2 linked regions of the Anolis sagrei genome follow. The protein of the gene in region 1 interacts with the protein of each later gene in a biochemical or structural test. Links are inferred from orthologs where the notes say so. Each region holds a gene or a part of one and is shown on either strand. Other genes may lie near its edges.

The links. The genes of interacting proteins can lie anywhere in the genome.
Region 2: of the proteins of BMP1 (region 1) and CHRD, one has a biochemical effect on the other in vitro, tested with the Homo sapiens proteins (3 studies listed by BioGRID and IntAct). The link is inferred for Anolis sagrei from reciprocal best matches to the Homo sapiens genes BMP1 and CHRD.

Annotation. Positions count from the first base shown.
Region 1 is NC_090027.1:1,873,606-1,880,868, forward strand, and holds the start of BMP1 (bone morphogenetic protein 1), read right to left. Parts: upstream 3,103-7,263; 5' UTR 2,888-3,102; coding exon 2,746-2,887; intron 1-2,745. UniProt on the Homo sapiens protein: Metalloprotease that plays key roles in regulating the formation of the extracellular matrix (ECM) via processing of various precursor proteins into mature functional enzymes or structural proteins.
Region 2 is NC_090023.1:261,954,176-261,961,214, forward strand, and holds the start of CHRD (chordin), read left to right. Parts: upstream 1-4,006; 5' UTR 4,007-4,429; coding exon 4,430-4,628; intron 4,629-7,039. UniProt on the Homo sapiens protein: Dorsalizing factor. Key developmental protein that dorsalizes early vertebrate embryonic tissues by binding to ventralizing TGF-beta family bone morphogenetic proteins (BMPs) and sequestering them in latent complexes.

The DNA of each region.
Region 1 (7,263 bases):
TATACTATGGGGTCGTGGCATTAGGAAGGTGGAGAAGCACTGACCATCCAATGCCTTTCCTTGACCACAGTGTCTCTCTCCGTTGACAGATTCTGCCCGAAGCAGAGAATTCTGTCCCCAAAAGAGGAGGACACAGTGTGTCCGAACGCCTCCATCCTGGGCTCTGGGGTCACAACAACAGGAGGAACTATACTATGGGGTCATGGCATTAGGAAGGTGGAGAAGCACTGACCGAAGGCCATCCAATACCTTTCCTCGGCCACAATGTCTCTCTCCGTTGATAGTTTCTGCCCGAAGTGGAGAATTCTGTCCCCAAAAGAGGAGGACACATTGTGCTGGTCCAGTCCGACGCCTCCATCCTGGGCTCTGGGGTCACCACAACAGGAGGAACTATACTATGGGGTCGTGGCATTAGGAAAGTGGAGAAACACTGACTGTAGGCCATTCAATGCCTTTCCTCTGCCATAGTCTCTCTCTCTGTTGACATATTCTGCCCTCAAACCATCTGCAAAGCGGAGAATTCTGTCCCCAAAAGAGGAGGACACAGTGTGCCGGTCCACTCCGAATGCCTCCATCCTGGGCTCTGGGGTCACCACAACAGGAGGAACTATACTACGGGGTCGTGGCATTAGGAAAGTGGAGAAACACTGACCGTAGGCCATTCAATGCCTTTCCTCGGCCACAATGTTTCTCTCCGTTGACATATTCTGCCCTCAAACCATCTGCAAAGTGGAGAATTCTGTCCCCAAAAGCAGAGAACAAAGTGTGTCCGAATGCCTCCATCCTGGGCTCTGGGGTCACCACAACAGGAGGAACTATACTATGGGGTCGTGGCATTAGGAAAGTGGAGAAGCACTGACCATCCAATGCCTTTCCTTGGCCATAGTGTCTCTCTCCATTGACAGATTCTGTCCCCAAAAAGAGGAGGACGAAGTGTGCCAGCCCAGTCCGAATGCCTCCATCCTGGGCTCTGGGGTCACCACAACAGGAGGAACTATACTATTGGGTCATTAGGAAAGTTGGGAACCACTGACCGAAGGCTATCCAATGCCTTTCCTCGGCCACAGTGTCTCTCACCGTTGACAGATTCTGCCCAAAGCGGAGAATTCTGTCCCCAAAAGAGGAGGACACAGTGTGCCGGCCCAGTCCGACCGCCTCCGCCATCCTGGGCTCTGCCTGTGTTTACTTCCCTTGCGACCCACAAACACCCCCCAAACACAGGTCCCTTTCCGTTGCCACCCTGCCCGCACAAAGAGCCCCTGTCACACAAGGCATTGTTGGAGGGACAGAGAGGAAAACACATCAATGCTCAGCTGAATTTCCTTTTGGAATAAGAGGGGGGGGGGGTGGGACAAAGTCCACAAAGCCTGACTTTTCTCCAAGCTGGAAACTTTTCCTCGGGACAAAGAGGCTTTTCTTGTTGTGTCTGAACTTTGAGAAGCTTTGGGAAAAGAGAGATACGGTGTTTCGTGGGGTCTGAACTTTGAGAAGCTTTGGGAAAATGGTGTTTCGTGCATTGTCAGAGCGGGTTGTTGTGCGTTTTCCGGGCTGTGTGGCTCTGTTTCCAGAGATGGGGCTTGGGTTTGGAAGGGAAACTTTCCCTCCTTTGTTTTGCCTGCCAGATGCCAGCTAAGCAATGGGCTGGACTTGGGTCCAGGCTCTCCAGAGACACAAAAGACCCCCATCCTGACAGTCCCACCACGCTCCCTTGTTGTGTAGACACAAAAGATCCCCATCCTGACAGTCCCACCACGCTCCCTTGTTGTGTAGACACAAAAGTCCCCCATCCTGACAGTCCCATCACGCTCCCTTGTTGTGTAGTCACAAAAGTCCCCCATCCTGACAGTCCCATCACGCTCCCTTGTTGTGTAGACACAAAAGACCCCAATCCTGACAGTCCCATCACGCTCCCTTGTTGTGTAGACACAAAATACCCCCATCCTGACAGTCCCACTATGCTCCCTTGTTGTGTAGACACAAAAGACCCCCATCCTGACAGTCCCATCACGCTCCCTTGTTGTGTAGACACAAAAGACCCCCCATCCTGACAGTCCCACCACGCTCCCTTGTTGTGTAGACACAAAAGACCCCCATCCTGACAGTCCCACCACGCTCCCTTGTTGTGTAGACACAAAAGTCCCCCATCCTGACAGTCCCATCACGCTCCCTTGTTGTGTAGACCCAAAAGACCCCCATCCTCACAGTCCCACCATGCTCCCTTGTTGTGTAGACACAAAAGTCCCCCATCCTGACAGTCCCACCACGCTCCCTTGTTGTGTAGACACAAAAGACCCCCATCCTGACAGTCCCATCACACTCCCTTGTTGTGTAGACACAAAAGTCCCCCATCCTGACAGTCCCATCACACTCCCTTGTTGTGTAGACACAAAAGTCCCCCATCCTGACAGTCCCATCACACTCCCTTGTTGTGTAGACACAAAAGTCCCCCATCCTGACAGTCCCATCATGCTCCCTTGTTGTGTAGACACAAAAGTCCCCCATCCTGACAGTCCCATCACGCTCCCTTGTTGTGTAGACCCAAAAGACCCCCATCCTGACAGTCCCACTATGCTCCCTTGTTGTGTAGACCCAAAAGACCCCCATCCTGACAGTCCCATCCTTCTGTCCCAGCAAGAAGGGGCTCCAGGGAGAGTCCATGCAGGTAAGGAGACCCCAAAGGTGAGCAGCCCAGGCACCCCTCTCTCTTTCTCTCTAGTCTAGGGCAATGGGAAGCCTTGTCCTTACCAGCTTTGCAAGGATCCTTGTAGTCAATGGGCTCTGGCTCTTCCTCTTCCTCCAAAACATCACTGTAGTCGGTAAAATCCAAAGCTTGTCCCAGGACCAGGCAAGAGAGAAGGACAAGCAAGCCCCCACGGGAGGCAGGCATGCTGGCGCGTCCCGGGAAATGACCCACGGAACGCCACAAACACGCGAGACCAATGACAGGAGAGGGAAAGAATGGGGGAAAGAAGCAGGAGTGGGAAAGGGGACAGAGAGAGAGAGAGAGAGAGAGAGAGGAGGGGGGGGAAGAGAGAGAGAGAGAAGTGGGAAGAGATGGGAGGGCTTCCCTCCTCCTTCCTTCCCTCCTTCCCTCCCTCCCTCCTTCTCTCTCTCTCTTTCCTCTGCCCTTCTTTTCCCCTCCCTCCTTCCCTTCTTCTCTTTGCGAGCAGGGGCGGGCTCCAATCCCAAGGCTCAGCCCCCTTTTTTCTCCCCCCAAGCTGGGTGGAGGGGGCTGGAGGGGGAAGAAAGTCCAGGAGGACCCCCACTCCTCTCTTCAGGGAAGATGGAGGGAGGAAGGGAAAGAAGGAAGGGAAGGAGAGAAGGGCATTTTAGGACAGAGATCTCCTCTTTCTCTCTCTCTGCCTGGAAGCTTTTCAGGAAAAAAAGGAGGAAAAAATAATACAGAAAGAGGGAGGAGAAGGAGGAGAGGAGAAGTTTCAGCAAAAATCTGCTGAAGGCAAAGGAGAAGCCAAAGGGTTGCGTGGCAATTGAAGGGGAGGAGGAGGAGGAAGGAGGAGAGGCACCCAAAGGGAAAGGGGGCTCTTCCCAACACCCCCCCAAGTCAAGCCAAACTCACCCGACTTTGGTCGCATCCCAAAAATAGTGGAGTCTGGGTTCACTCTGGCTGAGTTTTTGGGATGCTGGTGGGAGTGTGCAAGGAGGGGTGTGTGTCAAAGAGCAAAAGGTCTGCATCCTCCTCCTATATTATTATTATTATTATTATTATTGCAATAATAATAATAATCCCAAAAATAGTGGGGTCTGGGTTCACCCTGGCTGAGTTTTTGGGATGCTGGTGGGAGTGTGCAAGGAGGGGTGTGTGTCAAAGAGCAAAAAGTCTGCATCTTCCTCCTATATTATTATTATTATTATTATTATTATTATTATTATTATTGCAATAATAATAATAATAATAATCCCAAAAATAGTGGGGTCTGGGTTCACTCTGGCTGAGTTTTTGGGATGCTGGTGGGAGTGTGCAAGGAGGGGTGTGTGTCAAAGAGCAAAAGGTCTGCATCCCCCTCCTCCTGTTATTATTATCATCATCCTATATTATTATTATTATTATTATTATTATTATCCTATTATTATCCTATTATTATCCTATTATTATCCTATTATTATCCTGTTATTATTATTATTATTATTGCAATAAGAATAATATTTATACTCTGGGATGCAACAAAAGTCAGGGTATAAATATTATTCTTATTGCAATAATAATAATAATAATAATAATCCCAAAAATAGTGGGGTCTGGGTTCACTCTGGCTGAGTTTTTGGGATGCTGGTGAGAGTGTGCAGGGAGGGGTGTGTGTCAAAGTGCAAGAGATCTGCATCCTTTTATTATTATTATTCCATTATTATCCTATTATTATTATTATTATTATTGCAATAAGAATAATATTTATACACCAACTTTTCATGCCTTCCAAAAGTATTGAGGTCTGGATTCACACTGGTGGGAGTGTGCAGGGAGGGGTGTGTGTCAAAGAGCAAAATGTCTGCACCCTTTTTATTATTATTATTATTATTATTATTGTTATTATTATCATCCCATTATTATCGTATATTATGATTATTATTATTATTATTATTATTATTATTATTATTGCAATAAGAATAATATTTATACCCTGACTTTTGTTGCATCCCAAAAACTCAGCCAGAGTGAACCCAGGCCCCACTATTTTTGGGATGCAACAAAAGTCAGGGTATAAATATTATTCTTACTGCAATAATAATAATAATAATAATAATCATAATAATCCCAAAAATACTGGGGTCTGGGTTCACTCTGGCTGAGTTTTTGGGATGCTGGTGGGAGTGTGCAGGGAGGGGTGTGTGTCAAAGTGCAAAAGGTTTGTGTCCTCTTATTATTATTATCCCATTATTATTATTATTATTATTATTATTATTATTATTATTATTGCAATAAGAATAATATTTATACCTCGACTTTGTTGCATCCCAAAAGTATTGAGGTCAGGATTCACACTGGTGGGAGTGTGCAGTGAGGTTTGTATGTCAAAGAGCAAAAGCTCTGCATCCTCTTATTATTGTTATCCCATTATTGTCCTATTATTATTATTATTATTATTACTATTATTGCAATAAGAATAATATTTAGACACCAACTTTTCTTGCATCCCAAAACTATTGAGGTCAGGATTCACACTGGTGGGAGTATGCAGTGAGGTTTGTATGTCAAAGAGCAAAAGCACTTCATCCTATTATTATTATTATTATTATTATTATTATTATTATTATTATTATCCTATTATTATTTTACTGACACCAAAACTATGTCACAGTAAATGATATAGACTATTATTATTATTATTATTATTATTATTATTATTATTATTTCCAGTTGTTTCTCTTCAATCCTGTTGTCACCTGGGATTGCAACATCGATGATCCATACTTTGTTTTTTAACACGATCATGTGGTAGGAGTATTGTGCTCCAAAACTCACTCTGTCTGAATCCGGAAGTCCCAGAATAGTTTGACGTGTTCATTGTCTGTAACTTTTTCCGGCTTGTGATCCCACCAGTTCTTTGTGGCAGGCAAATGGTCTTTCTGGCACAAGTTCCAATGAATCATCTGAGCAAGGGTGTTGTGCCTCTGCTTGGAATCTGTCTGCGCAATCTTCTTGCACCAGCTGAGGATGGGATCTGTTGTTTCACCTGCTTCCTTGCAGAGTCTACACTTGGGATCTATTGTTGACTTTTCAATTCTGGCTTTGATGGCCTTGGTTCGAATGTCTTGTTCTTGTGCTGCCAGAATCAGGCCCTCCTCCGTCTCCTTTTTTTAAAAGATTATTATTATTATTATTATTATTATTATTATTATTATTAACAAGATGAGTCCACAGCAGACATTCTGCTGGCTGTTGTATTGGATCACACGTCAGACACTCCCTAGTGTCTAGGATACTATTATTATTATTATTATTATTATTATTATTATTATTATCATTATTATTATTATTATCCGCCCCCTGCCACATGTTGCTGTGGCCCAGTTTGTGTATATCTGTTTTGTGTGTGTATATGTGTGTGTATATATTTTTGTATCTGTGTATATATGTGTGTTTGCATATATATGTATGTGTGTGGGTGTATATGGTTTTGCGCATGCTTTGCAATGTATTTTTTATTTGGCTTCTTAAGTCCCTTCCACTGTGTTTTTCAGTGTTTTTATGAGTGATGGTCACTCATTGGCCTGATAGGTGCGTCGTGTCCAAATTTGGTGTCAATTTGCCCAGTGGTTTTTGAGTTGTGTTAATCCCACAAATGAACATTGCATTTTTATTTATATGCACTAGCCGTCCCCTGCCACATGTTGCTGTGACCGAGTCTGTGTATATGTGTTTTGTGTGTGTATATATGTGTATATATGTTTATGCATAAATGCTGTAAATAAATAATAAATAAATATGTGTGTGTATATATTTGTGTATATTGTTTATGCATAAATACACATGTGGTTATGCCGAAGCCCCCAGTGGCGCAGTGGGTTAAACCGCTGAACTGTTAAACTTGCTAACCGAAAGGTTGCAGGTTTGAATTCGGGGAGTGGCATGAGCTCCCGCTGTTAGCCCCAGCTTCTGCCAACCTAGCAATTTGAAAACATGCAAATGTGAGTAGATCAATAGGTACCTCTCCAGCGGGAAGGTAATGGTGCTCCATGCATTCATGGCGTCCACATGACTTTGGAGGTGTCTACGGACAACGCTGGCTCTTGGGCTTAGAAATGGAGATGAGCACCAACACCCCACCCACACCCCCGAGTCGGACACGACTGGACTTAATGTCAAGCGGAACAATATGGTTATGTGCATGCAGTGTAGTGTATTTTTTTATTTTTTTGACCATTTAAGTCTCTTCCGCAGTATTTTTCTGAGTGATGGTCACTCATTGGCCTGATATGGGTATTGTGTCCAAATTTGATGTCAATTCCTCCAGTGGTTTTTGAGTTATGCTAACTTTTCATTTCATAGAATCATAGAATCCAAGAGTTGGAAGAGACCTCCTGGGCCATCATCCAGTCCAACCCCATTCTGCCAAGAAGCAGGAATATTGCATTCAAATCACCCCTGACAGATGGCCATCCAGCCTCTGCTTAAAAGCTTCCAAAGAAGGAGCCTCCACCACATTCCCTCCGGGGCAGAGAGTTCCACTGCTGAACGGCTCTCACAGTCAGGAAGTTCTTCCTAATGTTCAGATGGAATCTCCTCTCTTGTAGTTTGAAGCCATT
Region 2 (7,039 bases), on another chromosome or scaffold:
AATTCAAAACGATCTTGACAGATTAGAGAGATGGGCCAAAACTAACAAAATGAAGTTCAACAGTGACAAATGCAAGATACTCCACTTTGGCAGAAAAAATGAAATGCAAAGATACAGAATGGGGGACGCCTGGCTCGAGAGCAGTACGTGTGAAAAAGATCTTGGAGTCCTCGTGGACAACAAGTTAAACATGAGCCAACAATGTGATGTGGCGGCAAAAAAAGCCAATGGGATTTTGGCCTGCATCAATAGGAGCATAGTGTCTAGATCTAAGGAAGTAATGCTACCCCTCTATTCTGCTTTGGTTAGACCACATCTGGAATATTGTGTCCAATTCTGGGCACCACAATTCAAGAGAGATATTGACAAGCTGGAATGTGTCCAGAGGAGGGCGACTAAAATGATCAAGGGTCTGGAGAACAAGCCCTATGAGGAGCGGCTTAGGGAACTGGGCATGTTTAGCCTGAAGAAGAGAAGGCTGAGAGGAGATATGATAGCCATGTATAAATATGTGAGAGGAAGCCACAGGGAGGAGGGAGCAAGCTTGTTTTCTGCTTCCTTGGAGACTAGGACGCGGAACAATGGCTTCAAACTACAAGAGAGGAGATTCCATCTGAACATTAGGAAGAACTTCCTGACTGTGAGAGCCGTTCAGCAGTGGAACTCTCTGCCCCGGAGTGTGGTGGAGGCTCCTTCTTTGGAAGCTTTTAAGCAGAGGCTGGATGGCCATCTGTCAGGGGTGATTTGAATGCAATATTCCTGCTTCTTGGCAGGGGGTTGGACTGGATGGCCCTTGAGGTCTCTTCCAACTCTTTGATTCTATGATTCTATGATTCTATCTAATCCAACCCCCTGCTATGTAGGAAAAGCATAAACAAAATACTCTTGACAGATGGCCATGGTCTTTTTCTGGAGATACGAAAGACTAAAACATGGACCTTCCTTTTTCTTCTTATGGTCCATGTCCATGCTAAGAAAGGCATCTAGCTTATAAAGTACAGACCCTGTATCCATGGGGGATATACACACACCCCCAAATGGGAAGTTTAGTTTCACAACCCTGGGTTTTTTGAGCTCCCTACAAATAACTTGCTTCTATTTTATCTCATTAGAGTTTTTAAACATTTTATCCTGTACATGTGGCCCACCCACTGTCATTGTGATTGTGTTTATTACAATGTTATTTTGTTACTGTTTTCATGTTTGTTTGTTTTTCATGTAATTTTGATGATGTTGCTTGTTGTTTATGTTTTGGTTTTATTTTGCTGTAATATGTTGTCCAGGCTCAGCCCCATGTAAGCCGCTCCGAGTCCCCATTGGGGAGATGGTGGCGGGGTATAAATAAAGTATTATTATTATTATTATTATTATTATTATATATTCCTGGACTTCACATGGATACATGAAACTGTGGACAATACCAAACCCTATTAGAGTAGAAGACTGCTGGCCCAAGAATATTATAGAGCAGGCATGGGCAAACTTCGACCCTCCAGGTGTTTTGGACTTCAACTACCACAATTCCTAATGGTGGTTAGGCAGTTAGAAATTTTGAGGGTTGAAATCCAAAACACCTGGAGGGCCAAAGTTTGCCCATGCCTGCTATAGAGTCATGCTGGGGGATCTAGAAAATACTAGAGAGGATGCATTTCATCTAACTTGGATACATGAAACTGATGTTATGGGTGCAGAAATACATATCAGGTTGTTATCCATGTTCCTACTGTATTTGGCATCCTTGAAGTGACTGGACTGACCTTGAAGGAGCTGGGGGTGGTGACGGCTGACAGGGAGCTCTGGCGTGGGCTGGTCCATGAGGTCACAAAGAGTCGGAGACGACTGAACGAATGAACAACTGTATTTGAGTATTTGAGTATGATTAGTAACCATACTCTAGATCACACTTGGATCCTTCTGGTGTTTCTGGCATCATCTCCCAGAAGTTTTGACCATTGGGAAGGCTAGTGAAGGCTTCTGGGAATTGAGGTCCAAAACAACTGGAAAACCAAAGTTGGGAAACCCCTAATCTAGAGTGTTAGATAGGGACAGACATGAGACAGTACTGAGGCTGAAGTACAAAGCTGCTTCTTCTTGCAAAGCAGGTCCCCTGCCAACAAGCAATGGACCATTTCTTCCCTTAGCCATTTCCCACTCCACAAAGAGATCGGTCTCATTTTAAGGGAAGTAATGCTACCCATGCTCTATTCCACTTTGGTTAGACCACACCTGGAATACTGTGTCCAATTCTGGCCACAGCAATTGAGAGATATTGACAAGCTGGAATGTGTCCAGAGGAGGGTGACTAAAATGATCAAGGGTCTGGAGAACAAGCCCTATGAGAAGCGACTTAAAGAGCTGGGCATGTTTAGCCTGAAGAAGAGAAGGCAGAGAGGAGACATGATAAGCCCTGAACGGTTTGGGACCTGCCAACCTGCATGACCGCATTTCTGTGTACGAACCCACATGATCTCTTTGATCATCTGGAGAGGCCCTACTCATGCTCCCACCTGCATTGCAAGCGCATTTGGTGGGGACGAGAGAGAGGGCCTTCTCGGTGGTGGCCCCTCGACTCTGGAACTCACTCCCTAAGGACATCAGGCATGTCCCATCTCTGGCAGTCTTCAGGAGGAGCTTGAAAACGTGGTTGTTCCAGTGTGCCTTCCCAGAATAATGAACCCTTAGCATTATGTCCTCCAAAAGCACTTTATACCGATTTAGGTCTGCTTGTATGTCTCCATCAACGCCCCACCTCCTTTATCTTGTTCATGCCTAGCATTATTTTTTAAACTTCAACTACATCTGGCCCAGCCATAGATTTTAAATGTACACTGTACCTTGTCCAATGTTTATGCTATTTGTGTATGAGATTTATTTTAATTGCTTTGTACTGTATTTGTTACTGCTTGTATTGCTTGTATTGTGGGCTCGTCCTCATGTAAGCCGTACCGAGTCCCTTGGGGAGATGGTAGCGGGGTATAAATAAAGTATTATTATTATTATTATTATTATTATGTATAGGGAAGAGGGCGTGAACTTGTTTTCTGCTTCCCTGGAGACTAGGACGTGATGGAACTACAAGAAAGGAGATTCCATTTGAACATTAGGAAGCACTTCCTGACTGTGAGAGCCGTTCAGCAGTGGAACTCTCTGCCCGGGAGTGAGGCTCCTTCTTTGGAAGCTTTTAAACAGAGGCTGGATGGCCATCTGTCGGGGGTGCTTTGAATGCAATTTCCCTGCTTCTTAGCAGAATGGGGTTGGACTGGATGGCTCATGAGGTCTCTTCCAACTCTTTGATTCTATGAACAACAACAATAATCCCCTCTCATCAGTCAAAAGCAGGCCCACACTTCCCATTGAAATACTAATAAGTTTATATTTGTTAAATGTGTTCTTCATTTTAATGATTTTATTGTTTTAAATGTATTTTGCACTACAAATAAGATGTGTGCAGTGTGCATAGGAATTCATTCATGTTTTTTTTCCAAATTATAATCCGACCCTCCAACAGTTTGAGAGACTGTGAGCTGGCCATCTGTTTCAAAATGTGTGAGGACCCCTGATCTAGTCCAACCCCATTCTGATAAGAAGCAGCAAAAATGCATTCTGTGCCATGTCAAGAGTTCCTTCCTATGAAGAGAAAATGGCCACAAGGATGCGGAGAAAGAAGTGAGAGAGGTCTCGAGGGACTCTCGACTGCGCCACCAGGACCTGGAGCGAATTTCCACGGCGCGTCCTGCATGGAAACACACCGGTGCGCGTCTCCGGGCGTGGAAGTTCCCCGTGGAAGCTCCACGCGCGGGAGGGGGCTTTGGGGAGGCCAAACGGGGGGCGAGGGAGAAGTTGAAGAGAGGGCCAGCCGCCTCTGAGCCTTATTCCCACGGGAGACTGTCGAAACGGGCGTGTCGGGATGGAATTGGGGTGCAAAAGGAGTGAGGACCACTCCGAGAAAGATGTGCGGGGATGAGAAGGGTTGTTGCCTCGAAGAAGCGCCTCTCTAGGGGAGGCTGGGAAGGGGAGATGCAAGTTGGGGACCCCTCCAGTCCCCTCCCCTCCCCGGCGGCGGGCGGAGCTTTCCTCCTGGTCCGCTCCTGGTCCGCTTGGGCTTGCTTTCTTGCTTGCTTCCTCGCCCTCCTTCCCTTGGCAAAGGCCGGGGGCTGGAAGCTAAAGCGGAGGGGACCCGATCCACCTCTTTTCCCCCCTCCTTCCTTGCTTCCCTCCCTCTTTTCCTGCCCCCCGCTGGGTCTGTCCTCTGCTGCCTCCTCCTTCTGTCTCTCCCTCTCCCCCCCCTCTCTCTTTGCCCCCCAAGATGCCCCCTCCGGCCTCTTCTTCCTCCTCCCCCTCCTGCTATAAAACCCTCCTGGGCGCGGGGCTGGGGCAGAGGGAGCCGCGCTGAGTGACCACTCCTCCAAGGACCGCTCCCGCCGCCGAGATGACCCCCTTGCTGCTGCTTCAGCTGGGCACAGGCAGGGCGCACCGGGCACCTCCTCCTCCTCCTCTTCTTCCTCCTCTTCCTCTGCTGCTGCTGCTTCTCGGCTTGCCTTGCCTGTCCCTCGCCCGCGCCCCCAAAGCCCTCCTGCCCATCCAGCCCGAGTCGCCGGACCCACTGCTGAATGCCAAAGGCGCGCCAGGTAGGAAAAGGGACCTGTCCTGGCATGCCAAGGAAGGAAGAAGGAAGGGAGGGAGGGAGGGAGGGAAGAAGGGGCAAAAGGAGGAGCAGAATGGGCTCCCCTTTGCCTTCCTATCAGGCTGAGAAGGTGTGACTGGCCTGGTCGCGCCAACCAAAGAAGAATCAAGATCCTTGAGTTGCTATTTTGAGTTTTCCCCATTTCCCAGAAGCATCCTCTCCTGATGTTTCGCCCACATCTATGGCAGGCATCCTCAGAGGTTGTGTGGTCTGTTGGAAACTAGGCAAGTGGGGTTTATATATCTGTGGAATGATGTCCAAGATGGGAGAAAGAACTCTTGTTTGTTGGAGGCAGGTGTAAATGTTGCAGCTAGCCACCTTGATTAGCATTTAATGTCAATAATAATAATAATAATAATAATAATTTATTATTATTATTATTATTATTATTATTATAAGTTTATTTGTACTCCACTAGCATCTCCCGAAGGACTCAATGTGGCTTACATAGGCCAAGGCCTCAAAACACAATACAACAAAACAACACCTAAAGCAAATTAAAAACAGTTAAGCAGTATGAACAACAAGCAATAAACAATACATCAAGACACTATAAAAACTGGGCCAGGCCAGAGTAATGGGTACAAGATTAAAAGTGCTGATGTGGCAGGAGGTATGTAGGATTATAAAGTAAGTGCAGTGTGCAGTGTGCAGCAATCTTAGTTCTACTAAAGTGCTTCTAGGACTTGGTATTAGAGATTCCTATTCTGGAAAGGCACATCAGAACAGCCAAGTCTTCAAGTTCTTTCTGAAGACTGCCAATGTAGGGGCCTGTCTAAGATCTTTGGGGAGGGTGTTCCAGAGTCGGGGGCCACCACAGAAAAGGCCCTGTCTCGAGTCCCCACCAAGCGTGCTTGCGACGCAGGTGGCATCGGGAGCAGGGCTTCTCCAGATGAGCGAAGTGAATGTGTGGGTTCATAGACGGAGATGCGGTCTCGCAGGTAGGATGGTCCCAAACCGTTTAGGGCTTTTTAGGTAAGCACCTGCACCTTAAATTGGGCTCGGAAGATAAACGGTAGCCAGTGGAGCTCCTTGAACAGGAGAGTTGACCTCTCTCTGTAATGAGCCCCAGTAAACATCCTGGCTGCTGCTTGTTGGACCAGTTGAAATTTCCAAGCCATTTTCAAAGGCAGCCCCACGTAGAGCACATTGCAGTAATCCAATCTAGAGGTTTTATTCATTTATTTGCTTCACATCACACTAGAGAAAAAAAATCCACCTAAAATCTGGTTTCTGCCTCCTGCAGAATTCTGGGGTCTGTAGTTTAGTGATGCTGTTAAAGCCTCCTCCCTAAACTATAAACCCCAGAATTCTGTAGGAGGCAGAAACCGGATTTTAAGTAGATTTTTTGGTATAGTGTGATGAGAACTTTAGAATCATAGAATCCTAGAGTTGGAAGAGAGACCTGGTGGGCCATCCAGTCCAACCTCATTCTGCCAAGAAGCAGGAAAATCGCATTCAAGGCACCCCTGACAGATTGCCTCTCCTCAAAGCAAATGGTGAATCATAGAATCAAAGAGTTGGAAGAGACCTCATGGGCCATCCAGTCCAACCCCATTCTGCCAAGAAGCAAGAATATTGCATTCAAAGAACCCCTGAGAGATGGCCATCCAGCCTCTGCTTAAAAGCTTCCAAAGAAGGAGCCTCCACCACACTCCGGGGCAGAGAGTTCCACTGCTGAATGGCTCTCACAGTCAGGAGGTTCTTCCTCATGTTCAGATGGAATCTCCTTTCTTGTAGTTAAAAGCCATTGTTTCGCGTCCTAGTCTCCAGGGAAGCAGAAAACAAGCTTGCCCCCTCCTCCCTGTGGCTTCCTCTCACATATGATAGCCACATACATGGCTATCATATCTCCTCTCATCCTTCTCTTCTTCAGGCTAAACATGCCCAGCTCCTTAAGCCTCTCCTCATAGGGCTTGTTCTCCAGACCCTTGATCACTTTAGTCGCCCTCCTCTGGACACATTCCAGCTTGTCAATATCTTTATTGAATTGTGGTGCCCAGAATTGGACACAATATTCCAGGTATGGTCTAACCAATATTCCTGGTGTGGTCTAACTATGAAGTACAACATAGTTAAAATGCATAGAAGCATAGAATCCTAGAGCTGGAAGAGACCTCATGAGCCATCCGGTGCAACCCCAGTCTGCCAAGAAGCAGGAAAATTGCATTCAAAACACCCCCAACAGATGGCCATTCAACCTCTGCTTAAACGCCTCCAAAGAAGGAGCCTCTCCCACACTCCAGGAAAGGGGGTTCCACTGCCGAACAGCTCTCACAGTCAGGAAGTTCTTCCTAATGTTCAGGTGGAATCTCCTTGGCTGTAGTTTGGAGCCATTGTTCCACATCCTAATCT